Linked DNA regions of Mytilus edulis. Each later gene encodes a partner of the first gene's protein in a complex. Links are inferred from orthologs where the notes say so. Each region holds a gene or a part of one and is shown on either strand. Other genes may lie near its edges. The genes, in order: AT-rich interactive domain-containing protein 2-like and protein polybromo-1-like.

Region 1 (16,742 bases):
TTTTTTATTTTTTTTATGGGGGGTATAAATACAAAGTGTGTTTTTTTTCTTCTTAATTTTGAAGTTAAAAATCACACAAAAAATGTTGGTAAAATTTTTATTTTGGATGTAAAAAGGGGTTTTTTTCTTTAAAATGGGGGGGTCAAAAATTGAAGATAATTTTTTGTTTGTGGGGGGGGGCTAAAGGAGTGGTATATTGTGTATTGCCTTCTCCTCTATACAGGCCCAATCTATTGTATTTCAATAAAACTTTATTTTTTTCACGACTTGAACGTGCATGAAATATTTGCCACTGGATGTTAAGCAACAAATAATCAATGCATATAGATGTATAGAAACGTATTTATTTGCAATAAAAAATAGAAAATTTTAAAAAGTCAGCGGTTTTTTGTTGAAAAGGTGCATTTATCGATATTTGTGTAGGAAACTATAAAATGAAGAAAAAAACATTCTTTGAAAATTCTTCGTTCCAACTCTTAAAAAAATGTAAAAACAATGCAGCTACTTAAATCAAAGTTTCAGAAATTTGCCGACAAAATTTATACAAAATCTCCTCATTTCGGAAAATACCAAAGTAATATTCAAATTCATTATGCGAAGACAAACTGGCAACGCCATAAAAAAAACAACAAAAAAAACGACCAAATATTAACAGCAGTCTACAAAAATACAACACAGAAAACTATTACTGAGCAAAGAGAAACCCTTAGGTGGTCTGGGAGGGTATATATTTCCTTCCTGACATGGGACACCCGTCATAATACTCACAAAAATTATGGTATTAAGTTGCAACATATCAGGCAATAGCAGAATCAAGATGAAAACAGGTGAATCTTCATATGATATCAATATGAACCCTGCTTCGTTTTAGACCAACCCAGCCGGATCTTATAACGTTGTATCTCACATGATACCAGTACACAGGCAGACATGTCACTCACCCAGGCGTTTTAGACCAACCCAGCAGGATCTTATTACGTTGTATCTCACATGATACCAGTACACAGGCAGACATGTCACTCACCCAGGCGTTTTAGACCAACCCAGCAGGATCTTATAACGTTGTATCTCACATGATACCAGTACACAGGCAGACATGTCACTCACCCAGGCGTTTTAGACCAACCCAGCAGGATCTTATAACGTTGTATCTCACATGATACCAGTACACAGGCAGACATGTCACTCACCCAGGTGTTTTAGACCAACCCAGCAGGATCTTATAACGTTGTATCTCACATGATACCAGTACACAGGCAGACATGTCACTCACCCAGGCGTTTTAGACCAACCCAGCAGGATCTTATAACGTTGTATCTCACATGATACCAGTACACAGGCAGACATGTCACTCACCCAGGCGTTTTAGACCAACCCAGCAGGATCTTATAACGTTGTATCTCACATGATACCAGTACACAGGCAGACATGTCACTCACCCAGGCGTTTTAGACAAACCCAGCAGGATCTTATAACGTTGTATCTCACATGATACCAGTACACAGGCAGACATGTCACTCACCCAGGCGTTTTAGACCAACCCAGCAGGATCTTATAACGTTGTATCTCACATGATACCAGTACACAGACAGACATGTCACTCACCCAGGACACATTATTCTGACTCCGAGCCGACCAGTCATTGGTTTTACCTCCTTATGGCGAGTGCTTATTAAGAAATGGCAAATATAAGATGTTAGGGATTGCCAATGAAACCACTCTGTTCAAGAAACCAAAATGACACAGGAATTAACAACTATAAATCACCGTACGGCCTTCAACAATGAGCAGTTGAATGAGAAAATACGTTTTCAAGTCTTTGTTTGACCCGGTCGGGGATTGAACCTACGACCTCCTGTAGTTAATGTTTCATATGCCGGTATTTATGAATTGTAAAGCTTTACTATAAAACAAATGCAAATGGACTAAATATCCTTTGTTTATCAAAATCTTCATTATCTGAACTGTCGCATTCGAACTAAAGAAATTATGTAACCTTGTTTTCAATTTTGGCAATAAATCTAGTTCAGCAAATTTGAATGCATGTATCGGAATAAACTTCACCAGGTTCAGTGGCGGGTTCAAGGCACAGGCACTCGTCTCAAATGTCCCCCCTCCTATATACCTTTATATAACACATATAGGAAATTTTTCTTCTTAGACGAGTGCCTGTGGTTCAAGGGGGGAAGGGGGTGGCAAATAAAGTTTTTTTTTTGTTGTTTTTTTTTTAAAGTTCTATGCATTTGAGTGTTGGACATACTAGTTACTAGTATGTTGAAACTCCCTTTTATTCTTGGGAAAATGACTGGATCCGCCGGAGGTTCACTTTGAACCCCCCCCCCCCCCCCCAAAAAAAAAAAGCCAAAACAATAACCCGTATATTGAGTCTATCGTTATGCAGTTAAGTTATAAATTGGAGTTATCTTTCTTACAACAAATACTACAATGTTTACTTTATATTTCAGTACATTGCTACTCTTAATTATAAATCGATGGTGTGTTTAAACTTTAATCTATATCTGAAAGTTCTCAAAACATTTGTAGTAAGAACATTTATCCTTCTCATTACCAGCGTGCTTTACGTAATTGATTAAGCTCCGGTGACCCCCACCCCCGAATTAATAGCAAGGGAGCAATGCTTTTATTCCACCTCCTGACCTCTTTATAAAAAAAATCACAGTAAGACCATGAACACGTCGCATAAAAGCACACTCACTACAAGTTTGAGATTAGATCAACTAGTACTGGTTTGACCGGAATCTTTTATTTTTCAGTTATACTGTGTTAGAATTTCTTCAGTCCTTTATCTCATCGTCATCATCATTATCGTTTTTTCGGATATCAAAATTCAAAGTTTATGATTAGAAGAACCACCAGCATTTATGCATAAATCATCTTTTTAAAGCGATTGCATACAGTATGTGTTTAAAAATTGAGAATGGAAACGGGGAATATGTCTAAAAGACAACAACCCAGCCTAAGACCAGAAAACAGTCAAAGGCCACCAATGGCAATGCATTGGTCTTCAACGCAGCGAGATAATCCCGATCCTGGAGGCGTTCTTAAACTGGTCCCTTTATACAATAATGTATACTTGTTCAGCAAAAATGGTCGTTACACTTAACTCCAGCACATATTAATGAACATTTAAACAAACATTAAAGACTTACAAAGGCAGAGGTTGACGACATCGGACAGACACAAACATGCAGCGAGGTTAAACAACATTCACCGTTTCCATTCTCAATTTTATATACTAGTAGCTATAGGGTTTTTTAAATTTAACCAGTTCCTAAGTAGCGGAGATCTTGAATTTCAAATTAACCGTAACAACAATTTTTAAAATGTGAATCATAACATCTAGATGTATTGTATTTCTCTAGTCTTAAAAACTCTTACTTTCCATGGGGACCACTGCTAAATTGATTTGTGGAGGACGACATCTTAGCCGGATGCAATAGGCAGTCTCAGAAGCAGCTTCCGAGAAAATTAAAAGGATATGGCTGCATGGTATATGCAAATGATAGTCATACAACATTTCAACGACACAAAAGGTTTTTTTTAGTGAGATAATAGATCGCTTCTTATTTTAGGCTAGCCGCTATGTTGCTAACGCATTGCCGTTATCCCTTTATTCATCTAGTTTTATTAAGTTCTAAGCTTGAAAAACTGTTCACATGTACATATCCAGTATGATATACGTACTCTGTTTAGAATATATAGAAGCATTTCGTATGTATGTAAGGTAGACAAAGAATATACTATATACATAGTTATTAGTTATAATAGAGAAATCTGTAGCTGGGTAACCTAAAATAGAAACAACGAAAAAACAAATGTCAACAAAACACTTCACACAAAATAAATAAAACAAATACCCCCCCCCCCTTTTCAGATAAAACAGAGATAAAATTGGGTACACCGGAAGGGTAGGCTGTCTCTGCTTCTCGAGTGGCACATGGCTTGTAAAAATCCTATCAAACCATAATTAATGTCATCGGTTCATTTGTTTCTGACAATAGTATATATATATAATATGACTTGTCAGAACATCAGAACATTATTGGGGCTGGCAGTGATATGGGCAGGGATATGTTGAAATTCGGAACAATCCCGGATCAGTCGAAGAAAAATGTCATCTTGAGTTGGTTCATCGTAGACTTCTTTTCGTCACCTTAAATAAGAATTGGACATGTATTGCTCCTCTTCTTATTTAAAGGTGACGTTTAGGTCATCCATAACTCCTCTAATATGCGTTGCGAAACATATTGTATATATACCCTTTGTTCCCATGTTGATAAGCTTTCGAATGACGTATATGATAGATCTGTAATGAGGGTTGAATTGTCACAGCAGTCAATCCCATTATTCAAAATATTCATTCCATTATTCCAAATTGGCTATTTCTTAATTTCACACGTATTTTGGCATTAAGGGAATACGATATAGTTTTGATTCCATGTTGAAATTTTGCATATAGGCTATTTTTTACCCGATTAAATCAAATATCTAATAAAAAAAAATATACCTTCATGTGCTACTTTTTGTGTAAAAAGAGGTCGAAATTTCAGATATTTGTTCAAAATTCGGATTTGTTGACGTATTTTTCCTTTCGAAAGAATTACATAACTTTTTTGTTTCAAAAGATAAACACAGGCTGTTTTTGTTAAATTATTTGTAATATCTATTCTATATAAGTATCTTATACATTTGTGCATTTTTTTTGTGCTGTATATTTATCAAATTTAAAAAAAAATGCATTACTGACTTTTTTATGAAAATTGGTACAAATATTCTTTATACGTAATTACACCAAATTTAATTTTAAAAACGAGAGGTCCATAATTAAACTCGTTTTCAAGTAAAATTAGTTTGAATGATAAAAATCAGTCGAAAAAAAGCTTTCAAATGGTGTAAAAAAATCTGTAAGTAGGGGCTGAAGTGTCGTAGCAGTCAATTCAATTATTCAAAATAAGTTATTTCTTAATGTTAACGCGTATTCCAACATTTAGGTTCTCAGTAACTCTTCTAATAGGTGTTGCAGGACATATTGACTATAAACCTTTTGTTCCCCTATGGATAAGCTTACGAATAACGTATAAGGTATATCTGTAATTAGGGGCTGCAGGATCGCAGCAGTCCATTCCATTCCATTATTCAATTTGATTTTCACGTATTTTGGCATTTAGGACCTCCGTAATCCCTCAAACGGGCACTGCGGCACATATTGATTCTTACCATTTTGTTCCTTTATCAATAAGCTTTCAAACTGTGTATACATTTTCTGTAGTAAGGGGCTGAAGGATTGTAGCAGTCCATTCCATTTTAAAAATACGCTATTGTAATTGGCCAAGCAAGTCGGTATATATATCATTTAATCTGCACGGTTCGGGTGACCTTAATGAAACGACGTTAATATCGATTTGATTGGTCTATAACTGTTTAAACACATGACGTCATCAATTAACTTGGCAAGATAATTTTGGAAATATGAGGACGATATACCCCAATCCGCGGCTCCTATGAAAGTTTCTTATAGGGTAAAGAAAGGATGAAATACGTTTTTATGAAGTTAGTTTGGTAAGTATTAAATTTATAAAAAAAATTGTTGGCTTCTCTCTAAATTGTAACATTATTTAAAAGTTGCGATTTAATGGTATTAGATAAGTTATATACGTACTTATGGTGGTCTTTATGATTCGGTTGACAGTTTTAACTTTTCCACTACACTTCCACGCAATCTTATCAAACGGTAGTTTTATTTAATCGTCGTTCGATAATTCTAATTGCAAATTTATTTGCTAGCCTGCTACTCGTACAAAGACTTTTTTCTCAAACTGCGAGAAAAGTAAATATATTAGATATACTTATTGGAGGTGTGATGAGATGATTACAGCCTTATTTTTTCTCGGTTTCGCAATTAAATTTATCGACAGATTGTAGATATTCCCATGGGCACTAATTGTACCTCTTTAATAAGTCTGTACAAATGTCGATCTCGGTCCATATGTGGTAATATGAATATCAAATTAGGTCTAAATATAGAAACAATAATTACAATCCTCTGAAAAAAATGATTTTTTTTTGTTGTTGCTTTAAACGCATATTTGTAGGGGCAACCAGCTGTCCAAACGTGATTCTGCGTTTTCCTTGAAATTTTAGCTTTGACCTTGGACCTAAGAAAACCTGACCACAGCAACTCCAAGCGACGACAATATCAATATTTCGATGAGGCTTGTTCTCCTCTTTACAAAGATGCCATATGGGTAGCCTACAGCCGTATGTTATTCCATTTACCCAAAGTCGATAAATATCGTTACTGGGCACCCTACTATTATCAAAAGTTTTCGTAGTCAGTATATATGCAGTCTATGTCTAAACCTTTATACAATGCCTCTGTCCACTCAGTATCAATCATTTCTAACAATTGAAGACCAGTTGACCTCCCTGCAATGAAACCGTGTTGGTTTTTTTTAAGAGAATAGGTTGTTTGTTTTTATGAGCTCTGTTATAAATTCCCGCAACATTTTCTCCATTATTTTACATACAACTGATGTCAAACTTACAGGTGTATAATTTGGGGCATGACGAATGACGATAAAACTTCTTTCCAAATGACGTTAACGATAATTTTTGGTGCAGGACGATAAAATGTACTTTTTCTTTTAGACAATACAATAATTGACTGATTTTGACGAATCACGTTTTAAAATTTTTTACGCTAACGGTAGCCGAAAATGCCCGTTTGACGCTTGTCGGTAATTTAAGAAGGGCTAACATTCCCACCCTCTTATCAATGCATTCTTCCAGTCAGTAGGGACTGACTTACTCTCAGGTGACCAATAACAGATAATGCATTATTATTTAAGCGGGTTTTCTATTGGCTCAGCTATCTCTTTTAGTAATCTAAGGTAGGTGCAGTTTGTCCATACCTGCATGGTGAGTTTCCTATTTTTCAAGGCCTATTAGTGTTTCAGATAGATACACCCTCCTTTATTTTCAGTTTTGACATATGTTCCCGATAAAAAGGTGAGAGGGGGTAGAAGGGGTCCAGATCCCGAAATCCCGGGCTTAAAAAACACGAGGTCCCGAATTTAAAAAAAAAAAATAAATCTCGACATCTCGAATTCGAAAAAAGAATTCTCGGATCCCAAAAGGGTCAATCCCGAAGTCCCGATAAAGGTCATATCCCCCTGAAAGCTTAACAGATGCGGATTTAGGGGGATAGCCCCCCTTTTTCAGTGGAAAAAAGGGTTCATTATATACTATAGATATACATGTGCTACTAGAGAATGACAGACTGGAGCAGGCCCCCTCTAAAGAACATTTTTAGATCCGGCCGCCACTGGTTAATGATCGTTATTAACCCAACACGTAATTAAAAACTCTATTTTCACGGAAAACTTAAATATACATGTATATAAATAGCAGTGTCACTATAAAATCTCGTAAAAATAACCTTCTGAAACAAAAGAATTATGGAAATTATGAGCTGAGGGTAGTCTTTTTGCTACCAGTTGATCTGGTTCCTTTCATAATCAAAATGTGCACATGCGCAGTAATTTGAGTCTTTAATGTCTATGAAATTAGTACTTTCGTCTTTAATTCCCACTATGTAGCGTCATCAAAACTTTGATTTTGGCGACTAAAATCATTTATTTTCTGTTGACAAAATCCTGGTTAAATCTAAAGTTCTCTTAAGACTAGAAATTTTTAAAACGTAAAATTTCGTCAAGTACCCTCCATTTTGAATAACTACGCCGGGATATTGTCAATTGCATATATGGCCCTCTACGGACAATTGCTTACAGGCATGATTATTATGTTTTTTGTTACGATTTTCCAAGAATAAGTCCACGTAGGGTCAACAATGACCATTTAAAATTAAATATCCAGCTAATTTCTAAAGAGAGGATCTCTTCGGACAAGTTATTGGAAAGTAATACATTATCGATTTTTACTGTGGAGTGCGTTTTCCTTGTGTGTGTGAAGAAAGCGTTGACTGAACGGTAACCGACGACAATAATGAGGAATCCCCGATAATATTGAGGATTTTCCCTTCGTCTGTCAACCCTGTGTTTACGTTTTTTTGAGTGCGCGTTGCACAAACAACAATATACTTCAATGTTTTATCATATTTATTGGATTTAGTGACGGAAAGTAGTGTAAAACTGTGATATTATGGCCAATATTTTAAACAAAGATCCGCTCACATTCCAGCAAGAAAAGAACGAATTTCTAAAAGAAATTCACATTTTCAACAAAAACAGAGGGTAAGTTCATCTTTCTTAGTTATTAAATTGTTGTCATATTATTATATAATTACAATATATTTATATTTTCATGTTTAATTATTATATTTCAGAACACCATTTGAAAAACTTCCTAAAATTGGTGGAAAAGAGATCGACCTGTATTTGTTGTATCGGCGTGTGATCAGCTTTGGTGGATTGCGAAAGGTAAAGTCGGTTTGAATTTACCTCCGTTCACAGTCAAGTAGTGTATCAATAGAAGCCTCGCGCTTCTCTTGTTCTTTGATTGTCATTATGATCTATAAATATTGGCAATAATAGATCAAAATATTTTTAATGCATTGCCATTTTAAAGATGGCTTCCATGTTGTGGTTTAAGGGGAGGGGCTTACTGTGTGTATTGCAAGTTGGCAATATTATTCCAAAATCTGCAGATTTTAGTTAGTTTTTGTATTGTTTGAGGTTGTTAAAGAATAACAACAATGCATATGCAATCCCTTGTTATTTATTTTTAGGTTGACAATTAAAAATAGGCCTGTATTTATGCAAAAATAAAGTGCAATCAAGGTCAACTGTGTAGAGTGAGCCAATTTTTTGCAGGATTGAAAAATTGACCCCCAAAAGAAAAGAATAGACATTTATAATTCATGCCAATGATATGCAAAATCACTTTTGATATATTTGAAAATTGATTAATTTTAGAGTAAATAAATATATGCATTGTACTATGAACATGATGAAAACTAAGTAAAAACAAAATGCAAGGTTTAACTTGTGCAACTTTTTTTTATGAATGATTGCACTTTTAATACCTTGATTGTTAAATATTTTTCTTATAATATGTATGCGATCACCAGTATTGCAGTTCCTTATTCATTGTAAAAATGTACATACATGTACATGACATAGAATTCGAATGAGTGAACTTTCGATTTAAGAATAGATACATGTACATTTTGCAGGTCAGCTTGAATCCAACCAAATAAAATTTAAGTTGCGAAAGTTGGTGGTTTGATAGTACATGTAAAATGTATTTCCATTACAATTGTAACACCCTTTCAAAAAAACACCTGGACAAACTAGATATATTTCACTATTGTTTAAGAACATTATGCAAGATTTTTAGTGATATTTTGTCAGAAAATGGTGAAAGAGCAAAAAATGAAGAGATTTCAGCAGAAAAGAATATTTACATTTTTGCTAAGAACATTGAAACCAACAAAATCAACTATCACGTTGATCAAAGAATTTACTTCAATTTAATTTGAAGATTCTAAAATGAAAGTTGAACTCAAAGCTTTATAGGCTAGAAGACATTTCTTTGGTATGAAATTTTAGACAGCCAGAAGAATGTAATGGCAAAAGTAATTCTAGCAAATCAGATTCATGAACAAATGAACATTCAAATTTACAAAAATAGCATATTTTGAAAATGTCTTGTTTATTCTTTAAAACTGAAGATAAAAGCTTCAATGTAAAATGTATGGATATGCTGCTGGGGAAAAAACAAATTATTCATGTAGTGAATATTTGAAAAAAATATATGATAACCAAAGGATAGCAGCTGAAAAATAAAATTATTTCCCTACCTATCTACCCACATTTGGCTTGGCAGGGTCAGGATTGGGGAAACAAACAATATTTTAATTTAGGCCTAACTAAGATTATGCAGAGCTTTGAAGGTTTTAAGTTGCAAATGTACCCCCTCCTCTTGTCATGTTTGTTCATAAATAATTATAAGTGCTGTATATTGAAATGATGTTGTCTGCACATCCATGCAATTGTCATTTGCTATCCAAGATGTTTACATTTAGTACAAAAATGTAGTTATAAACATGATAAAGAAAAACAGATAATTACTTACATTGTACAAGTGATCTATAAATAGAACTGGAATTTACCTTTTAATCAATGACCATGCTCTTAGAGTGACAGTGTAATCTCTGATAATAATTTAAATCTAAAAATAGCTCTAGTAAGCTGGACTCTTATTTATTAAAAACCTTGTATTTTTTTTTGTCCTTCACACTCTCAAACGTTCAGATATTAAATTAAAGACTTACAGGATTTGGATTTCAGTAAAGGTTTTTGTTTTAGTTTTATAAAAAACATACCAAAGCAAATTCCTCTATAATGTATACCATATTTTTCTGAGATTGTAATTGGATGTATACATGGTATATAACATGTGTAAAATGGGTAAATTTTATTAGAAAGGTAGAGTTACATGTATGTGATGGAAATCACCTTCATATTAACTTTACATTCATGGTTAGATATAGAAGACAACTTATTTATTATCATAAGTCCGAGTATGCTGTCATTGAAAGTTAGAGAAATAATTTCCTGTAAGCTTAAAAGAAACTTTTATGTAATAATCAAGAATATTTGGCTCCAATGCAACCCCATCATTATTGATTAAAAGTCAATTGACATTGAAAACTTTCCATAAAAATTGTGGGCTGATCTCACACTACTTATGTAATGTAAATGTATTTATGTAATGTAAATGTATTTATGACTTTTCATAGAAAATAAAAAAATGTTGCAGTCTGGAAAGCCCAAAAGAACATATTGAACCAATTCATTTTAATGTAGTTTTCATACACGTAACACTTACAGTATAATATTTCATTTTTGTCAGCAGGTAATATTCACATGCATGCATGATGCTTGGCATTTTCAAGGTGCCTTTTCCCCACTTATTGTGAAACCAATTAAGTCCCATCTTTAACACTTTATACATATATGTTTTGGATAAGAGAGAAAAAAATATTGATCTATATACGAAATAAACTTAAGCTTCATTGCAGAAAAATAGAAAATTTCTTACCAGGGGTTAAAAATTGCACTAGATGGATTTCTCAGTACAGGGGGGGGGGGGGGGAGGGGGTATTGTACATTGTTTATGCTAAAATTTTCAATTAACAGTACTGGGGACTATGATGCATTGAATGATAGTCACCTTTGACCTGTCTTCAACTCTTGTCAGACAGCTGTTGAACACTAAACCATGCAATAAAATATTTCTAAATAGTTTAGTAGGTACCACTGGAACATTGTCACAGTCTGACAGTTTCAAAATGAAAAACAGAAGATGATGGGCGCCAGATGGGGCTGAAAATTAGTCCCCCCAAAAAGCTGAAAAGAACATTTATAGAATATATGGACAAATAGATTCTACTGGGCAAGGTCAACTGTTACTGATGTTGATGATATAGACAATGTTTTGTGAATATTTTCCAGATCACACCAATAAAAGTCTTCTATGTATGTGGGATCAACAAATATTTGATTAGAAACACTACCTGGTTTCAGATGACAAGACCCATGAACATATTTTCTGTGCCTGTAAATATTTACCACCCATAATACAACAGATTAAAGCGAACTAGATTATAGAATTCATTGTATTATGCAGCAAATTATGAATTTGTAAGGCATGCTCAACTAGTATGTCAGACTTGATGTGCGAGCAGTTCTTCAAGTTCAAACAGGGCTAGTAAAATCCTGCTACCAAAAATCCTGGGCTAGTGAGCTGTCTACAAAAATGTTTAACCCCTGTCTATACTTTTATCCAAAATCATTTTGAACTGTCTTTATTAATTAAGCTGAGCTATATATGTAAAAAAAAATATAATGTAGCAGTTGTAAAATACTGGAGTCTGGCATACATTTTATTCACTGTATCACATTGTAGTTCTTACTATAGTTATTATAATTACCTGCTGTTTTAAATAAATCAACCCTGACACATACATTTGAAACAGTACTGGCCAATAAAACAAGATTTATGGATGTAATATTTTGAGAGTCCTTGAGGTCTTAAAAAATATATATTTTTGTAGATCATCATGATCATGATCAAATCTGTAACTTAAACTAACTTTTTGACACACTGATGATGACAGACAAAAATGTTGAGGTTTTTATGAAGACCCACAGGATAAATTTTGCTACTTCTGAAACCAAATTTCTCCTAGGTTAGTCGAGACTTTTCAGGAGAACTTTCTTTGTCAAAGCTTTAGATTGGCAATGATTGGTTTAGCCTATTGGGCAAGTATGATAAACATTGTATGCTAGTATTTATAGAATAATTCAGTCTTCATGCTCGACCACAGGCACAGGCCCACCAGCACAAAAATGTACTGGTGTAAAAATGCTGTTCTATGTAGGCCCTGTAACAATATCATCTCTTTTAACTAAAATTTGCATAAAATTCAATTTTGAGGCTTTATCTTTAAGATTGGAATATCTGAATTCTTATTTTATTCAGATTTAAGCATGTTAATGAAATGTAATGTAGCCAAAGGTAGTTATAAATTCTGAAAGTTTATATATTTTATAATGTTTTAGCTCACCATGCCTAAAGGGCCATTGTGAGCCATTTTCAGGCTTTGGTGTTCGAGGTCTGTTGTCCTCTGTTATCTTTTATTAAAAATCTAAAACTAGATAAAACTACCAGGCCAAATGCAACCAGATATATAGGGCATTACTGCCGCTCAGCAAGTCAATGCAGTTTTTGTGCCTTTCCCAAGACAGGAGGATCTGGCCTTTTTCATGTTTTTAGTCTTGTACTATTTTAAATTTTATAGTTTATTTAAATGTTTTGGAGTTAAGTGTGCATGACAGACCGTGATGTCCATTTTCACTGAACTAGTTCACAATTTTATTAACAAATGCAGGGGCCAGCTGAGGACCACCATTGGATGCAAGATTTTCTCTCAGTGTTGAAGATCCATTGGTTGACTTCGGCTGTTGTCTGCTCTTTGGTCGGGTTGTTGTCTCTTTGACATATTCCCAATTTCCATTCTCCATTTTAGTCATGGTCAAATTTTAAAAATAACATAGACATGAAGACTGTGTATGGCTGACATGACCATATGGCTGTTTCACACTGAATCAATGTTGAGCAATAATCTAACAATAATCAATCAACATATACGTTTGTCACTGACAATGATTAAATCTAAAGCTCACATTTACAGTAAATGTGCATTAAAATTACATTTTTTTATAATATATCATACATAATTAAACTATTCCTTTGTTGCACATGCTGAAAACAGTAGCAGATGTTTGAGGTCAAAGTAAAGTTCACTTTATTAAAAATGCAAATCTGCAATTAATGTAACCTGCATTTACTATATATACCTCTCATACATGTACATTGTAGTTTTTGTTGCAGTAATATTTTTCTTCTCTTTGGTCAGGTTGTTGTCTCTTTGACACATTCCCCTTTTTTAGTTCCCTACCGACGAAGTCAATGAGGAATTGACTTTGCACTCTGTCTGTCTGTCTGTCTGTCCATCAGTCAGTCTGGCAAATCAGTTTTTCAGACTTTTTTCTTCATGCTTGAAGATATTGATTTGATATTTGGTGTATTGTTTTATCATGACAAGTTACAATCAAGTTCAATTTTCACGATTTTAGCTTTTCTTCTTGTTCAGTTAAAGCCCTTTCCCTAGTTCATTCTCAATTTTATTGTAGTTTTCTTTACACATTCTGTGGACCATTTTGTATAAAGTTTAACTTGCCTTTTTATAGAAACTGCATCCGAACAAATAAGGGAGAATACTCAGTGATAAATTACACGTTCTTCTTTCTAGGAAGCTAATAGTGCGGTGACAGAAGTGTAAAAAGTCGTCTAGATCGCGAGTTTAATCTCCCCAAATAACACACGACTAAAAATGGTCTTAACTGAAAGACAAATATGTCTTCTTTAGTTTTTGCCCTGTCGTCAGAATTTCGTACGGTCACATTTTTCTAAAAAATCGTTTTAATGACTAGTAGTATATTGGAAAGTTTCAACCCCCCTTTTTCAAATTGAAAAAATGTGTATGTTTTCTCACATTTAATTGAAATAGTTTTTCCTGAAGCCATTTTTATATGTCAAAATATTCTATTTAGTATTTTATTTTCTTCTAATCTATAAAATTTGCAAAGTTTGGACTGTTTAAAATTGAGGTAATTTTAATTGCAAATTCAGACACAAACTTTGGTTTCTTCTTCATAGCAGTAATAAAAATTATCCCATGATATTTTAAGCATATAGTATTTCATAAAACTAATAAGTGATAAAATTTTCGGAACCAAAATATGAAAAAAACCTTAAGAAATCAATGGAAAAAGAATGGATTAAAAACTTCAATTTCAACACGGAACTTAATCACTTGCCTTCCGTCACATTTTGTGTATTAGTCAATAATTTGCTCTCAACTGATAGATGGAATTACTACCTTTTTCGTTATTATATACACATATTTTCAATTAAAGTGCACATATATGCCACATACTTTGTTTGTATATGTTTATATTCTATGTTTTTTGTTACAAAACATCAAATATACTTTGTCAGAAAAGTCTTATTGTAAAATCAAAATAATTGACGGATAGTTTCAGTAAATATTCCGTGATATGTGAAGTCCGTTGCAACTTGCTCCAATAAGTCTAAAAGAAAAGAATAAAGTCGTTCAATTTTATGCAGTGCTTAATATGCAAAAAAAAAACTCGACTGAAATTTTGAGTCAATTTAACCATATAGGGAAGTCGATTTTTGTATCTGCATCGAATAAAAGATTGGATGAGGTGAACATGTTTCATGAAAAGGCACTTGTTTCTGTCAATATGGGTTTACTATCCATACCCGTACGAAAAATCACCCGTACGGGTATGGATAGCAAACCCCATATTGACAGAAACAAGTGCCTATGATTTCATGCGATAGCTGTTAATTCGAAGAACTCCGTGCAGGCAGTTTACCATCGTTCATGGTACAAAAGTTACAAAAGTTAACATATTTGTGCCCCCTTTTAGAGCGAGGAAGCTTCTTATCTGATATTTAATGACGACATACAATTATCGGACTGTTGTCCCACAGTTTCGAGTATTTGTATGCGTTCTAGAATGCAGTCGTTCAACTGGAGCGCTTGTACATTTTGTTGCAACAAAACATTTTAGAAATATCATAAAAACTACGCAAGTTTGAATCAGATGAGCGTATGAAGAATGTTTTATCCGTGTCAGACAAAGTTAAAATTGAAATTGTTTTTCCGTCCATCTTTTAAACTTCAAGCACTCTGTCATTTTGGTTGCATTACAAATCATTTGCTAAAAACGAGAAAAGACCCAAAAAAGTCCAAACCCGTGGAAGCAGATATCTCAGATCACGATACTGCTTTTACTAATTTTATTTTGGCTATTGACAACGATTTAATGGTCATTCCTCGTGACACCGTTACTTGATAAATACAGATCTACTCTAATTTAAAATATTCTACTTTTAACATGCGGTCTAAACTTATTGATTTCTATTGAAATTCAGTTGTCAAACAACAAGTTCAAGGCAAATATAACATAATATATAGTAGCAAAATAACTATTTGAGATGCAATATCAGCTGCTAGGCAATTGAAAACTGACCTCAAAATCTTAATGTCAACGGTAATAGACACACATAACGGACAGATATTTCATTCCGCTGCAAGTATACTTAGAAAAGACATCGAAACTCTAAAGAAGAATACCCAACTTCGAATGAATTGTCTCTTCCTTCTTCAATTCAGTCAATGCCTTCGTATTTATTGCAATTCATTTTATAGTTACTCGATGAAACTGCATACAGCCAAGACTATTCTCAGGAAATGGCACCAGAGAAACTGCGTCAATGCTAAGAAATTGTTAAGTCAATCGTGTGTGTGGCCAATTTTGTTTTACTCTTTTTTATTTAGGATTGGCTTTACAAATGTACCATGAGTTTAGTTCAAAACACCTTGTTGAAACATTGAATGCCAATGGACGTTATGCTTCTTAAAGTAAAGTGCGACGCTATCTGATGTATTGCAAACCATGACATTGATCGAATTCAAGATAGTGTGTTCATCTCGTATAATGATTCCTCAGCATCTTTACAGACACGCATATGGATGTCATCACACCTTCCTAAACCCCCTTTTAGATCTCTGTTAAATCTTGGATGAATTGATAGGGATGGTTTGAAGCTGGTATTTTTTTTAGGAACAAATGTCTTCGGACTTCCTACAATACCTTGTCTATACTTGTAAAGAAAAACTCAAAATAACGTGTTTGCTGTGAGCAGAACCTTTCATGTGCAGACATGTGGCCATGAGTGAAATGAGTAGAAATATTAAAACATGTCTTGTGACGGTTGATGAAAATGAAGATGATGAAGATAACGGTTGATTTGGTATAAAGCTTGTTGCACTGGTATACCCAGGTTCGGGGAGTGTTGGTGCGCCCTTAAAAAAGTTTCACCCGGCCACATTCTGTATGTGTCAGTTTCAAGTCACGAGATGGTAATGCAGTGTTTGTCGTTTGTTTCTATTTGTTTTTTATTCATTTTGTACATTAATCGGGCCGTTAGATTTTTCGTTTGTTTTACATTATTTGTTTCGGGAATTGAAGACTATGCAGTATGAATTTAATTTTTTACTCATTGTTGAAGCCCGTACGGGACCTATAATTGTAAGT
Region 2 (16,579 bases), on another chromosome or scaffold:
AATCCCTTCAAGTCGGACAATAGAGGCAATTTAGAGTGATTAAATACAATGTAGGTGTTGATTGCCCTTTGGGTGATAACTGTTTGGATACGAATACCCCACGCTGTCACTTGTGACATGATTGATACCACGTGGTATGCAATCGGAAATTTCGACAAGAATGTAATCAAAAAATCATAAACAAAAAATTCGAAATATATGTTTGCAATATGAAAATTCAGAAAACAAACAATTTTTCTCTTTTTACAAAGAGGTTGAGTCGTATCATTTTATGACTTTCAAAATATTAGTACTTTCTTTCTCTTCCTGTGTAAATCGAGAGTGAAAATTTTGATATTGATCTAAATAAGTTTTGTACTTTCTTTAGAAAGTGATCATAATTGGTTTTAGGTTATGTTGCATCCATTTAATGCATTAAAAACGTCATATTCATTTCCAATCTCTTGTCAAACATTGTTTATTTTCGTATTTTTCATTGCTATCGGCAGCCATTGATTATTTTAGTGTAAACTTCTTATCGGAACCGGACCAGATATGACAAAAATCAGCATTTAAGAATAATAACAGTAGACAGAAACAATGATACCTAAGCATTAACAGACTTCAGTGGCGGATCCAGGGGGGGGTTCCGGGGGTGCGCACCCCCCCTTTATTTTTGCCGATCAATGCATTTGTATCGGGACATATGTTTTGCACCCCTCCTTTGCCCTGGGTGCCCTGGGTTAGCACCCCCCCTTTCGAAAATTCCTGCATCCGCCCCTGGACTTTGTTAGATAACTTTGTTGAAAATAAATACTATTTTGATAAAAAGAAACAACTGGGACTAATTCATTGAGTACCATTAACCAATATATTTCATAACATGATAAAGAACAAGATTTTTTAATTTAAAAGTTATTGCTACATGATACTTTCTCTTCCCTTTTTTTTTTTTTTTTGTAAGAACCAGTGTTTTTTCCTACATATTTAGTGCAATTGTATCTATACAGGATGCACTATAATAAACCATTCATTCATTTAGCTGGGTAGGTACAATGTAGGGTAACTGAAACATAATATATTTTTATTTGGCCCAAGAGGAAAAAAATAATTCTGGAACTATAAAATGAAAATAGAAAACATTAACTGAAAAATCTGTTATCATGCATCATATAGTTAGTTTAATTGTATTCTCAGTTATGAATTCAACAAAATATACACAAAGATTAGGGTGGAATGAAATATTTTATTAAAAAGATGAGGGCCAATAGCATACAAACAATATAATAAATTTGTAATAAACAATAACGTATATAACATAAAGGAAATAGAGCATTGCCACGACGCGACAAATTACATTGAAAAAATTACAATATTTTTTTTTTACGCCAAATGTGATGCTATCCAAAATTTCTGGGGAGAACACTGTAATAACTCCCCAATTTTTATCAGGATTTTTTTGGGGATATATATTACTAAATTTATTTCACTTGAATGGGCCGGTTTAAGAAGTTTGCTTATTTAAGACCAGTCCATCTTTAGACAGGAATGTTGGGATAAACTCATTAATGAAGTGTCCAGTTATTCATCCCATATCATACACTCAGTTCTTTTGTATATGGGTTTGGTGACACTGATATGTGATTAGAATTCAATAATTATTATGGGGACAAAGTCCCCAATAACAGTAGAAAAATCAATAAAAAAAAATCGTTCAATTTTCCTGAAATTTTCATTGTACTAATGAACTCAAAATCGTTCAATTTTTTTGATGTCATGTTTTGAATTCCAGCATCTGCGCATAAATCTACAATGTACTTCCTTTTTCGGGTCTCGTTTGTATGAAATTTTGAGTAAAATATATATTTATCTGTCTAGTATAAAATAGGAAGGAACGCAATACCAATTTCATTTTAAATAATTCCTTGATATGAAAAAACGTTACCTGATGATAGCATTTCTTTGTTTACATTGCATATGACGTCATAACTTAAATAACGTCACAACTAAAATCCCTAACAACAGAACCAAAATCGGAAACGCTACGGTATTTCCGTTTCTGTTTTTTTAACAAATATTTCAGTAACAAAAAAATAATTCATACAGACTTCGTCCCCATATACAGGTAATGCCTGCCTCATATTAAAACGACAATCACCTTCTCACACACATCTTCAAATAGACTGTCCTTATGCAAATTAAAACATAAGCTCCACCGGATCAGTTGAAATAACATACACCTAATCGCTATTCTTTCCATTCTGGATAAATTAAACAACTTTTTCATCCAGTTAAAGCTATCTGGGACCCTGATTAAACAATACACCATGCATGATACTTTTTAATGAGACCTGTTTAAACTACCATAAATACTTCAAACAAAATAATTTTTTTACTTCAATTTTAATTTCGAAAAAGTCATTAGTGGATCATACTCTATCAAAGTTTCTTAATGGTCGCTTTCTAAAGTTTTACCTCCCTCAGCTCACTACTGATGACCTCTATTTTCGGCAGCATGACCAAAACAGGAAGTTGTGTAAATGACTGTTTTTCCTGGATGGACTAAATAACGATCATAGGGTGTATTGGGGGTAACACGAATGACCGAATAACACTGTTATTATCCGAATAACACTTGTAATGACCGAATAACACTTGAAATTCTAATATTATCACATATTGGTGAATTTTGAACATTGATTATTAAATAATAATGTATTATCGATGTATTTTATAACTTAACAATGATTTACAAAAAGCAGATAAGTTCATAAAGATAATTATGAATTTAGTGTGTACATCAAACATGGTGGCCATTGTGATTTCTATGATCGCCATATGCGATGTACATACTAAATTTTAAAAGTTTTTTATGAACTTATCTGCTTTCTGTAAATCATTTATAAGTTATAAAATCTATCGATAATATACTATTAATGAGGGGGAGGACAGGGGTAAGGAAGACAGGGAGAAAGGGGGTAGGAGAAAGGAGAGGAAGGCTGGGAGAAAGGAGAAAAAATAAAATATCTCTCCTTTTAAAAAATGCAAGAAAAAATATCTCAAAAGGAGATGTTTTATTCTAATGGGAGAAAGGAGAACGGGGGTAGGAGAAAGGAGAACAGGGGTGGGAGAAAGGAGAAGGGTACCCCCCTGTCCTCCCCCTCATTAATTAATAATCAATGTTTAAAAGTCACCAATATGTGCTAAAATTGAAATTCCAAGTGTTATTCGGTCATTACAAGTGTTATTCAGATAGTAACAGTGTTATTCGGTCATTCGAGGTACCGTTGTATTGGTAATGCATATAAAAAAATATCTAATAATTGAACTGGAATTTCAATAAAAATTGGGTGCGAAAGTGTAGGGTGGGAACGTGTCGGGTGCTAAAGTGTATCGACTATTGGGTGTGAGCGGACCTGATACATGTAACTGCGGGGGCAGATGGAAAACACTGGCACTGCCTTTTTTGTTATAGTTATTTTTTCTGTTAGTGTTATTCAACTTGGGATAAAGGGAAAAACCTGGTTATGGATAAACAGCTTTCTCACAAATCGAACAGCCAGATGTATGCTGAATAACTTCTTTGGAGAACAATTTGATACCAAAATCGGCTTGCCACAAGGGTCAGTACTATCACCCACCTTGTTTAACATATTCATAGCTGATATAATGGATAACACAAAAGGAGAAAATTGCAAGTTTGCAGATGATGGCACTTTATGGCATAAGGGGAAAGACATAAAGGAAATGAAAGAAAGAACTTCAGAGGATGTCAAAACTATTTTAAAATGGACAGAAAAATGGAGAATTAATGTAAACCTGGAAAAGTGTGAAGTATGCCTATTCTCAAAAGGCAACACAGATGCAGAGCAGAAAACATTAAAAGTCAACTCCTTCTCCTATAGATATAGTCCAACACCGAAGCTACTTGGAGTAACTCTAGACGAGAAGCTTAAATTTGACACCCACATCAATCTGATGCAGAAGAGGGCAAATAATGCAATATATGTAATTAGAGATATTAAGAGCATGGGAGGAATATCAAGATCAAAACTACTCCAAATATACAACAGCATGGTTAGATCTATCATGGAGTATGCATGCCCAGTCTGGCAAATAACATCTGCAGAGAATATGAAGAAATTAGAAGCTGTACAAAGAAAAGGCTTGTCAATATGCCTAGGACTACCAGGAACATCAGGTAGAGAGGCAATGGAAGTTGAAGCCAACATACAACCCATAGACCTCAGAATAGAGGAAATATCAGTACGTGAACTGGCAAAAATACAATCAAAGAACATAGCAGAACCAATTAAACAACAACTAGAACAGTATTTAACAAACAACGCAACCTATGAACAACAGGATTCTCCATTTGGTAAAGCTATAAACCAATCCATAGACATGTTCAAAGCCACGAAAGTTGACATCAAACTTATAGAACCAGAATTCACATACAAAGCTGGTGTAGATGTCATGCTAAGGAGATCACCAAGTTATTGGAGTCGTCTAGGTAGCTCAAAGAACAGAACAGCCGAACAAACTGTTGAAAGTAAACAGGTTGTAAAGGACCTATTAGGAGACAGCACAGACTCAACAGTAGTGGCATTCACTGATGGTTCATGTCAAGGTAACCCGGGACCATGTGGGGCAGGAGCAGTAGTATATTCTGGAAATAGCCAAGGCATAAGTCTAAAGAGGCCAGTAGCTAATAGAGGATCGATACTTCTTGCTGAACTAGTAGCCATACTAATGGTCCTGGAGCACTGTATAACGACTATAAAGGACCAGTTTTCTGAGCTTAAAATACTGTCAGATAGCCAGACTGCTGTAGGCATCTTGACTCTGAACTGGAAATCTTCTAACTACATCGACACAATTACTGATATCAAAGAATGCATGGGAACGCTCTTAAGACACGGCATACTAACAACCCTATCTTGGATCCCAGGCCATGCTAATATAGCCGGGAACGAGATAGCGGACCAGTTGGCAAAAGACGCTGCAAAAGAGGCCTCATCACTAAATGATCAGTATAATGTCATAACCATGTCAGATGTAAGATGTGCAGTCAAGATGTCTACAAAACTCAAATGGCAAAGCAGATGGACAATTAGTGAAACTGGAAGACAGCTTTTCAACCTAATTCCTATCGTTGGTAAGGACGCACAACTAGACAAGCCTAACAACCAAATAGGAAGAATATTGTCAGAAATAAGAACGGGCTACAGCAGACTTAACAAATACAGAAACCAAATCGGTCAATCCCTCACGCCATATTGTGAATGCGGAGAAGAAGAAACATCAGAACACTTCCTGCTATACTGCCCAAGATACCAACAAGAAAGAGAGGACATGCGAAGACAAATGGAACTACTTAACATCGATCCAACAAATATACAGTCAATACTAGCACCACCAAAAAGAGAAACCTACGAAGCAACACCGCAAATTGTAGGGGAATATATTACAAAATCAGGGAGATTCCAAGAACTTGCAATCCCTGATTCCCGATCCTGCGCCTAAACAAGTATACCAAAGTACCGCGAGATATTACCTCGAGCAACGGTGTACCATAAGAGGAGGAAGATAGTACACAGAGAACAGTAGTGTCAATTATTGACCTTAGGATCAGGATCAGGAACAGTATCATGCTGGGCATAATTGAATTCGTGTACATTTAGCTCAAGCATCAGAATTCCACTGTGTCTATTGTAAACATGTACAAGACAAATAAAACTTACAAACTTGTATGACAATAAAAATGCTTTGAAATCAAGGCCTAAACTATAGCCTGTATAGGTTGTTTTTTTGGATTACTGCTTCATTTTCCGTAAAGCACATTTACTAATATATGATGCTTGGATATTTATCATCAATTAGAAACTAGATTTTATCCAAAATTTAGGTTTTCTGCATTGTTTTTGTAATCATTTGTTGTGTTTTCTTACTTTTCTTTGTGACAGACGCCGTCCATCAGCGTCAATGTGATGCTTGCATCGTCTGATTCACTTTTGTGTTTGTTTACAATGTGCGGTGATGAGGGAAATTTAATCAAAATAAATGTTTTTTCTACTGAAAATTTATAAAACTACTTGTTTCTTTGAAAATTTAAACGAAAATAAAACAATTGATGATTAAATGCAATTTATATGCACACAATATTTTTTTAAAACAGTTCCATTAGAAAAGGTATCTTTTTGTCTCAAATCAACACTTTCCCATGATAGTGAGTTTTGGAGTTGTGAGTTGTGGCTGAAACTCACAGTTGAAAAATGGTTGCACACTTTGCCACTATCCTTTTTACAGGATTTATGATATATTCGGCTGTTCCAGGCTCAAGTATTAACAGCTCCATTTTTATTTTAAAACAAAGATGAGAGAGACTTTATAATTTCCCTTTTCCTGTAAACATTTATGATTAAGGTTTATGTACCCTTCTGTAGCCATTTTTGTACGAACTTTTCAAATTTCAATTGTATCAAAACTACAGATATAATGAATAATAGAGATAGGCCATTTTGTACATATTCCAAGGGGAAACTTGATGCAAAGCATTATTTTTTACTGTTCCATTGCATTTAATAGAAAAAGAGGACTTTGTGGCAAATAAATCAAGATTTTTATAGAAAATCCACAGCCTTTATCCTTGTACTCTCATATTTGGCAATTTGATGACTGATAGATATAGGATTATTGCATGCAGTGCAAGCATTGATTTCCTTAAAACAAGTTTACAAATGTAGTTATTGGTTAAGACAAGTATAAATATGGCCAAAATCAAGTACACCTTTTAGGGTGCGCTCGACTTTAGTGACTCAGCACGAGGTGTTTTGGAATTTACAGGTTACTTAGAACTTTTTGTAAAAAATAAACACTAGCACATCATAGAAAATCAAGTGAGTAATTTATGTTTCAAATTTTATAACAAAAATCTCTGTATTAAAGGCTGTGGATTTTCTATAAAAATCTTGATTTATTTGCCACAAAGTCCTCTTTTTCTATCAAATGCAACGAAACAGTAAAAAATAATGCTTTGCATCAAGTTTCCCCTTGGAACATGTACTAAATGGCCTATCTCTATTATTTATTATATCTTTAGTTTTGATACAATTGAGGTTTGAAAAATTCGTACAAAAATGGCTACAGAAGGGTACATAAACCTTAAGACAAAAATCACCTCAGTTTTACCACCTGTCAAAAATGGAGTTGTTTTGAAAATCTATTCTGTGATTGATTATTACTGTTCATCAAAACAAAGGTAAAAATACCTTTCAGGTCATCAAATGCTTCTGTTCCCTGATCTTATTGATTTGAGTGTGTTTCCTGGTCATGGCACCATAAATGTAGCGATTAAAATTGAGGTCATCTACGCTTAGATATACTAACACGTCTGTTCAGCCAATATAGGATTATTACTTTCTTAAATAGAATTAAAATAATTGCTCCTCTGCAGTTCAATCAATATATGTGTTGGTGATTTGAAGTTACATCAGACATATATTTATAGGTCTGCAGAGGAGCATAAAGAAACCATGAATCAGGGATCTCCATGGCCTGTTTAACGATGGTGCCCCGCCATCGTTCAAATGTCTTGCGCCATCGTCAAATGACTTGCCCCATCGTTCAAATGTCTTGCGCCATCCAGAGATGGGTCCGATTACTTTCAATGTAATTGATTAAATTACAATTACTTTGTCATTTGTACGATTAAATTAAATTAATGATTACATCATTTCTGAAAGTATCTGATTAAATTAATGATTACATTGGCAAAGTAATCATGATTACATCTGATTACAATAAATTTAAAAACAAAACATTTGGATGATTTGGATGAATAAACGTTTAATATAACTATAGCATTTTTGAGAATATATTTTATTTGAGTCAATTATAAAATGATAACTTCAAATTAAACGTCATCTAGTTAAATAAACACCAAATTTCACTACATATATATATACATTACACTTTATCACCAATGATCTCTAAATTATTTTGAATTAAATTTTATAAAGATATATCATAATCAAGAGTTTTTTTGTTTGTCTTTTGACCTCTTTCATAATTTATATGTATTCCAAGTTGCAGTTTAAATATGGCTGAAATAAAGTTACCAGTTAAAACTATGTTGAATTTTAATAGAAATGTGTAATCAAATTGTAAACAATATGTATTAAAGTATTTATTAAAAACCATTGCATTTTACACGTCCAGTCCAAATACAAAAAAAAGTTTAAAAACATATTTGTCCAACTTTTAATTTAGTTTGTGCTAATTAGATAAATTTTCATGTCTGATTTATCTTTTATCATATATATTTCCCTACAGCTATACTCAATTGGTAATTGCAATAAAAACAAACCTTAATTAGTCTCCTACCTGTCAATTTAAAGTTGACAAAAATCACAAAAATTAACAAAAGATTATAATTCAGGGTTAAAGAAAAGTATTACTTGAATATATATCTATAACAGTTATAATCAAATATCAATATGAAGATCATTATAAAATGATGAATATACATGTATGTACAATATCTTTTACCAAGATAAAAGGTATATAATTGTATTATATGTCTCTGCTTAGGCTAATGATGACTTTTCAATACTGTAACAGTTTATTCTTTACTGAAGTAGACAAGCTTAAAGTAACCAAACCATTTTAGTATGTTAAAAATTTATCCAATATGAACAAAGAGGTTCATTTAATGACCAAAAACACAATTTTAGATTTTTTTCATTGTAATCAGAATGTAATCAAAAAGTAATCATGATTACAGGGTATATTGAAAAGTAATTGATTAAATTAAATTACATGTAATCAGATTTTTGGCTGATTAATGATTACACTGATTACTTGAAAAATTGTAATCAATTACAGCTGATTAACGATTACAATTACAATTACCCCAAGTCTGGCGCCATCGTTAAATGACTTGCGCCATCGTCAAAACTGTGATCGTTTTTATAGCCTGACGTCATTTTTTTTTAGCAATTATAATCAAATGCATGTAATTGCATAACCTTCGGGCTTTCTTTATAGTATAATCCAGTTCTAACGCCTGAGGGATATCCGGATTAAGATCGCTAATCACTTGTACCTGAGCTTGTACAGGTAGATCAACAAAGCAGACAGGAGAATATTATCTGAAGATAGACGATTCAATTGTCGAATTATTTAATTAAGTTTCCGCAAATGCTTATGATAATTCAGATTAAATAAATAAATTAATAGTCTAGTTACATAGTTTAACAAGTAAAACACGTGCTTTTATTTTGACTTACGCAATCAGCATCCCCCTTTTTAAGAAGTTCAAAATAAGACGTAAAACAGTAATTATTATTTCATCGCAAATAACTCGAGTACTGCTGTATTGTCACGATAATATAGAATTACTTTAAAGGTTAAAAAGTAAAAACTTTTAATATTTCCTGTAAATAAATATCGTATCGTAATTCCGAATTCATTTCGTAGTTTACAATCAAATTGATACATCCGCGTTTCCGGTTTCTATTCCGACTTGAAAAATGCATGTTGCATAGCATCGCTTTTCTAGATAAAGTCATTAAAAACCTTTTCATTTGACAATGTTCGCTTTACAAATCTTTTTAACCTTTTACATAACCCGTACGACTCGTGTTGTCGTTGCTGCAAACCAGCCATATATACCGGTAATGGGTTCATGAATTCTGAATTTGACAATGTCCGTGAAAAATAAGCTCCACATGAATTTTAACCCGCATAACAATTACCGAAAATAGCAAGAAAACTACATTGGGACCTTTGTGATAGCTATTGGTCATTCTCGACTAAGGGAAAGGGAGGGGGCATGAGGGCTTGCCTTTGAAGGGTTACAAATGGCAATTATTGAAAATATATATACTTCTATATACTATAGTATTTATAATGAGAATTCAAATAAATATAATTCAAATAAGCAATGAATTAGCATGTTCACCTATCCTTATGTGGAGGGATGAAAAACTTTCGATCGCGTTACGCTGTACATCGTAGATACGGTTTATGATGGTGAAAGTTCCTCCATCGTTCAATTTTCATCCATGGAGATCCCTGATGAATATGCAGCAGCAAACTTTTATTTAAAAAGCGATTTTGAAAAGACGGATAAACTATAAAAATTGCCTCCTAAAGAGAGGGAATGTCCACCCATTTACGGATTATCGGTCATCTTCTGATTTTATGGTTTATAATCTATAACTTAATTTTGTAATAGTTATTTTTATTTTATACATGTATATAGTTTTTGTTTTTTAGATGAACATCTTTTTTTTTTTAAATTTCAGGTCTATTTTCATGGCATCCTACACTAATGACAATAGCTGTAAGTAATTTGGATACTAACTGTCTAGAAATATTGGCTTGCATGAGTTAAGTAATATTATTTTTTGAGGAAAAAATGTCTACTTTTATTCATGATCATTCATTACTTCAAAACTCTACATTTTGTAATAACAGAGAAATGTCTCCCCTTAGTAGTATATGGTTCGAGTTGAAAGTAAAATAAAGAAAGATAGTGTCTACCCTACATTTAATGCAAGTGATCGATGTTTTAATATTCTTTTACATTTATTTCAGATGATGTTCCTTATGTTTGAAGCTATAATGCTGTTTAACCAACAAAGCTCATTGTTTTTAAGTTGGAGCCGATTGATTCGAGGGACAATACATGGGGTCATGATGTTTTTTGGAGTTGTGTGTGCAGCTGGAGGCTTCACTGCTATTTACCTGAACAAAGACAGAAATAATAAACCACACTTTCAAACCTGGCATTCATGGTTTGGAGTGGGAACTTTATGTTATTTGATATTGCAAACAATAGGAGGCATTGGATTAAAATACTACAATATATTTCGTTTACCAGCAAAGTTAGTAGACATGAAACTTTATCATGCCACTTCTGGCTTACTTGCATTTACAGGCATATCAATAACAGTTTATCTAGCATTGTTTTCTGAATGGTTTTCATCAGTAGCTGATGGCACAACATGGTTTGCCTGTGTGGCATGCTTATCTTGTATGGCATTGACTGTGATGATGCAGGTTACCTCCAATTATATGCCACAGACCAAAAAAGTCCCACAAAATGTTGATACCAGACCAAAACATGGAAAAAAGAAATAAAATTTATGAAGTTTTAATTTCTTAATTTTCTGTAGCCTCTAGTCATCAGTTTTATTAATCTCATGCCAACGTAGTCGAAGGTTACTTTAATTTTGCACTCTGTCTGTCATCTGTCTGGCTGCCTGCCCCACGTCCGGAAAATCAGTTTTCCCCACCTTTTTTTTCATGCTTGAAGATATTGATATTTTTTGTATTGTTTTATCATGACATGCATGACATGTTACAGATCAAATTTAAATTTTGTTCCAGTGTGAAGATTTTGTGCAGAGATATGGTCCTTGGACTTTAATTTTGTGCAGAGTTGTTGTCTTACTACACAAGTCCTTGTTTTTATTTATTCAAAAACACCTGTAAACTCTGAGGTTGTCAGGTCAAACCCAGCTAGTGGCAAGGTGTTTTATACTCTAATCTTAATGGACAAGGATAGCCAATTCTTCTGACATTGGTTGTTGATCCTATACAGGAGGGTCTGGATGGGGTTTATAGAATAGAGTATAATGGACAAAAGTGCAGAATAAATGGCTAGGCAAATAAAGAACTGACAAAAATAGACCTAAAAAATAAAGATTGAGAAAAACAGTATAAAAAAAATTACAGATGAAGGACCTCTCATTCAGGTACTCTATATTCTTCTTTTGCCAATAAATACAGAGCATAATATAACAAATGTCACTAAAAGCAGTGGCGGATCCAGGGGGTCCCACTCTAGTCTAGTCAAGCTTCAGTGATTTCCTATATAATAAACAAAATTTGTGCACAGCTCCTCCCCCCCCCCCCCCCTCTGGATCCACCTATGGAAAGGTGGAGTTAAAAACCAAGCAATAAATAAAGAAAGAAAGAAGAGAAAATGAATTAAAGAACAAGAATAAAATTCCTCCCCAAAATTCATAATAGAATTCTGATAATAACAATTTACAAAGCCATCTAGGGTCAAGAATTAATTTAGAAATTTATTACTTTATTTTCATGACACAATCTGTAAAAAAATCATATCAAAGAGCAACACAATCAAGCAATTCTGGTCAGATTGAGAATATGACAATAAATCCAATGTATCATGAAGCTTTCTGCACGTTAAGAACCCTTTGAGCAACCTTTTAAGGGGTCTGGATGCAAGGCTTAACTTCTGTACCTATCCGATATACACATACTGTGACATTTACCGCCCTTCAGACCAATTGACCCTATTGCAAGACCTACCTGTTGTATTCATTCATTGTTAATTTGTATTCCTCCTTGTACATGCATGAAATATTTGCTGCTGGACGTTAAGCAATCAACAATCAATAAAAACATTCGAGCAATATAACAACACATTACCATTATGCTAAAAGACCATGAGAAGAACACTAAATCAGCTCTGAATCAAAATCTTCTGAACTTTCTCGACTCAGAATTTGGATATTGTGTGAAATTCATATATGGATGCAGGGACTTTCGATGGATGGTGTCAAACGTTGTGACTCATGAATAAAATTACTGGGTCTGCTTCAAAAGCATTATATTCGTTAGATTTGGTGTTTTGTTAAAAGAAGTTTGAATAAATGAGCATCTGCGACTGTCAAAACTCGACCTTCAAGATGAAATAGCATCAACATGTAAAATGGAGTTCACTTCTGTTATATAACTTGACAGGTGTCAGATAAAATCAATTTTACGTCGTGTCTATGATAACAGGATGCCTTATGCTTTCTGGGCAGTGTTCTTTCAGTTTGTCCGTCTAGTATCAGCTTAATGGTCTGGGTAAACTGTTAATAGACATAAGAAAATGTGGTATGAGACAACTTTCCATTCAAGTCACAATTTATAAAAGTAAACCATTACAGTTAAAAGTACGGTCTTGAACACGGAGCCTTGGCTCACACCAAACAGCAAGCCTTAAATGGCCCCAAACTAAAATTACTAGTGTAAAACCATTCAAACGGGAAACCAAGCATGTTTAGCATGAAGATGTGAGTGACATCAATTTGAAAGTAAATATGCATGTTGATGTTAACTTTCTATAAATGTTTGTACTAGTGGATGTATAAAATAGATATTATGAAGTGAAAAAGTACAATGAAATATAAAGATAATGATATCTTGTATTTGCATAAAGATATTATTGTAAAATGAATAGAATTTCCATCTATGGTATGCATGAGCTATTTGCAACTGGACGTTTATCGGAAAGGGAACACGGTTTATTTTTCAATCAACAAGGTCACAACTTTATCTTGGAAACTGGAAAAGGCCTGGAATTTGAATCAGTTGTTTCAGACCTGGTAAATGCTCTTGAATTTTTTAGATGAAATTTGTGAAAAGTCGAATACCGTCCATGTGTATTTTAACTCATTTGAAATGCAAACGACGGGTAATCTATTCAAGATTGATGGCTAACCAAATATTTGACTTATACGACACTGTACAATCTATAGTTAACCAGATTCAGATTAACCAAGATATCGGTATTACCTAAACATACATTTCATTTTAAACAATTTTTTAATCTAAATCATAACAAGAAGCAAATTATGTTTTTGTTAATGACGGAGCATCTATGTATTAAGACAATCTAATATGACAGATATAAGTTTTTTGATTCGATATATTCAAAACTATTCCGTACAATAAAGGAGTTATGGCACATGAGTTATGGCTGACCAAACTGTCACAGTGAAAAAATTGCTAACACCCTTAAATATAAAACAATGTATTTATCGTTTTTTTGTCGAGCCTGCAACTTTTGTTGCAGAAAGCTCGACATAGGGATAGTGATCCGGCGGCGGCTACGGCGGCGTTAGCTAACTTCTTTAAAGCTTTATATTTTAGAAGGTGGAAGACCTGGATGTTTCATACTTTGTATATAGATGCCTCATGTTACGAAGTTTCCGTCAGTCACACGTCCAATGTCCTTGACCTGATTTTCTTGGTTCAGTGACCACTTGAAAAAAAAGTTCAGATTTTTTGTAATGTTGAATTCTCTATTATTATAAGTAATAGGATAACTATATTTGATATTTGCGTACCTTGCAAGGTCCTCATGTCTGTCGGACAGTTTTCACTTGACCTCGACCTAATTTCATGGATCAGTGAACAAGATTAAGTTTTGGTGGTCAAGTCCATATCTCAGATACTATAAGCAATAGGGCTAGTATATTCGGTGTATGGAAGGACTGTAAGGTGTACATGTCCAACTGGCAGGTGTCATTTGACCTTGACCTCATTTTCATGGTTCAGTGGTTATAGTTAAATTTTTGTGTTTTGGTCTGTTTTTCTCATACTATATGCAATAGGTCTACTATATTTGTTGTATGGAATGATTGTAAGGTGTACATGTCTAGCGGGCAGATGTCATGTGACCTTGACCTCATTTTCATGGTTCAGTGGTCAAAGTTAAGTTTTTGAGTTTTGGTCTTTTTATATAATTCTATATGCCATAGGTCAACTATATTTGGTGTATGGAAATATTTTATGATCTTTATGTCAGTCGCGCAGGTTTTATTTGACCGTGACCTCATTTTCACGGATGATTGCACAGTGTTAAGTTTTTGTGTTTTGGTCTATTTTTCTTAAACTACAAGTAATAGGTCAACTATATATGTTTTAGAGAAGCATTGTTAGCTGTACATGTCTGCCTGGCATGGTTCATCTGACCTTGACCTCATTTTCAAGGTTCACTGGTCTTTGTTTAGTTATCTTGGTTTATGTTCTGTTTGTGTGATAGTTGTAATAAAGCTTAGCTTTATACTTAGGACTATCAACATAATATCAATGATTAGTAAAGAAGGCGAGACATTTTAGCGTGTGCACTCTTGTCTAAAACATGTTTCGATTTTTACAATTTTTATTTTTTTACTTTTTGTACGACTTCATGACAAAAGCAATGATATTATTTCCGTGCTCTTTTATGTTTTCGTTAACCACCTTCCCTTTTGAATCCATCACTGTTCATGGTTAAAGGTCGGAATATGCACCGTGTCCAGTAGTAGTAGATTTTTTTCTATTTGCTGCTGTTGCTACAACCTGAAGACAGTATATTTAGTATTACACATAAGATTTTCTCCGTTTCAGTCCATGTTTCCTACACCACTCCAACATCTCATCGGTGAAGCCTCCAATCACGGATTTATTTTCATATGATATGCTCCTACCAACATAAGCAGTGTGTTTAGGAGTTTGCTCATGAACTGGGTCAACAGGTGCATAATCCTCCTGAGAGTTGAAGGGGTCCACAAAATGATAGTTCCCATGATATTGTGAATTCTCGTCTCTACTAAAATGCGGTTCTGTTATAATAATAGCATTCACTTTATTGTTACCATACCTAGAAAAATATATTCATAAATTTATTTTAACAACCATTTTTTGCAAACATGATGTGTAATAGATGGGGAATGACATTTAACCACAAAATAAATTATAGTTGTGTAAGAAAAGTAAGTTGGAGTTTTAAGTTTCCGCGTTCGGTTGAATTCTTTATACGAAAGTTCCATGGATTTGTGAAAAGTGAGTATGTTCTTTTTTTTTGTGATTTTAATCTGGTTCTACAAAAACTGGTGGAATGTACAACAAAAAATGTACTACAAAGACAGAAAAGTTAGGGACAACCAGTAGACTTTTGTGTTTTTAAGTATAACGAAAATCGCCTTTACAGTTCTTGCAGATATAGTATCATATCAATCAATTTGTAGCTTTTTTGGTCTATTCTCTACCTAGAGGTTTACTTTGGACATATTGGTATATAAATCAGATCTTTGGGTATAAAAAAATAGGTGTTTTGTAGTCTTAGACTTAGTATACGAGGACAAGATAGTAGTATACAAGTCTAGGAATTGTCCTTAAAATATTTAGATTTTGCTGATTTTAAATTTAATGTAACAAATGTATACTGTTGTTCAATAACTGCGTCCGGTTACTTTTATGGGATAAACATTTTCCTGCTTATTTTCTAACATGTTGGTTTTGCCGTTTTTAAACTTTGACCTAGGTACTGCAAAAGGTAACTTCTCTTTCTACACTAGTGTTGGTGTATAATTTTTTTTATGAAGTAATGCAAACGATTAGATATTACAGGTTAGATTGTAGAACCATGATCTCTTTTATTAACAGCTGCATGGTTAAGAATTTGAGTTTGCTTACAGTTTCTGTAATATATACGACATACAATTGTTTATCATTTTGTGATTTCTTGATCTTTTATGTCGTTTTTTTTTATAGAGAAACAACAAGCATGTGCTTTGTCTGTACTGTTCAAAGTTTGTGTTATTTTATGTAGTTGAGTAGTCCACTGGCAGAATGGTTGAAATATCAGAAAGCTTGTTTAACCCCGTATCTATAAATACCTGTCCAAATCCAGTAGTTGGACTTATTGCACATCTTCACGGTTTTTTTTTGTTGTTGGTGAAAATAATGTACCTGTACATAATTTTGGCAGATCATTGATATCTTTTCATTTGATTAATTCACAACT

Evidence for each region.
Region 2: AT-rich interactive domain-containing protein 2-like (region 1) and protein polybromo-1-like share a complex: the UniProt entries of both Homo sapiens proteins name them as parts of the SWI/SNF-B (PBAF) chromatin remodeling complex. The link is inferred for Mytilus edulis from reciprocal best matches to the Homo sapiens genes ARID2 and PBRM1.

The regions. Positions count from the first base shown.
Region 1 is NC_092353.1:67,050,572-67,067,313, reverse strand, and holds the start of AT-rich interactive domain-containing protein 2-like, read left to right. Parts: upstream 1-7,751; 5' UTR 7,752-8,181; coding exon 8,182-8,273; intron 8,274-8,365; coding exon 8,366-8,459; intron 8,460-16,742. UniProt on the Homo sapiens protein: Involved in transcriptional activation and repression of select genes by chromatin remodeling (alteration of DNA-nucleosome topology). Required for the stability of the SWI/SNF chromatin remodeling complex SWI/SNF-B (PBAF).
Region 2 is NC_092344.1:83,195,648-83,212,226, reverse strand, and holds the start of protein polybromo-1-like, read right to left. Parts: upstream 6,046-16,579; 5' UTR 5,931-6,045; intron 5,506-5,930; coding exon of another isoform or gene 3,649-5,505; intron 1-3,648. Other genes in the region: uncharacterized protein, read left to right, coding at 3,649-5,505; transmembrane reductase CYB561D2-like, read left to right, coding at 6,121-6,223, 10,290-10,327, 10,582-11,127; FERM domain-containing protein 4A-like, read right to left, coding at 15,154-15,433. UniProt on the Homo sapiens protein: Involved in transcriptional activation and repression of select genes by chromatin remodeling (alteration of DNA-nucleosome topology). Required for the stability of the SWI/SNF chromatin remodeling complex SWI/SNF-B (PBAF).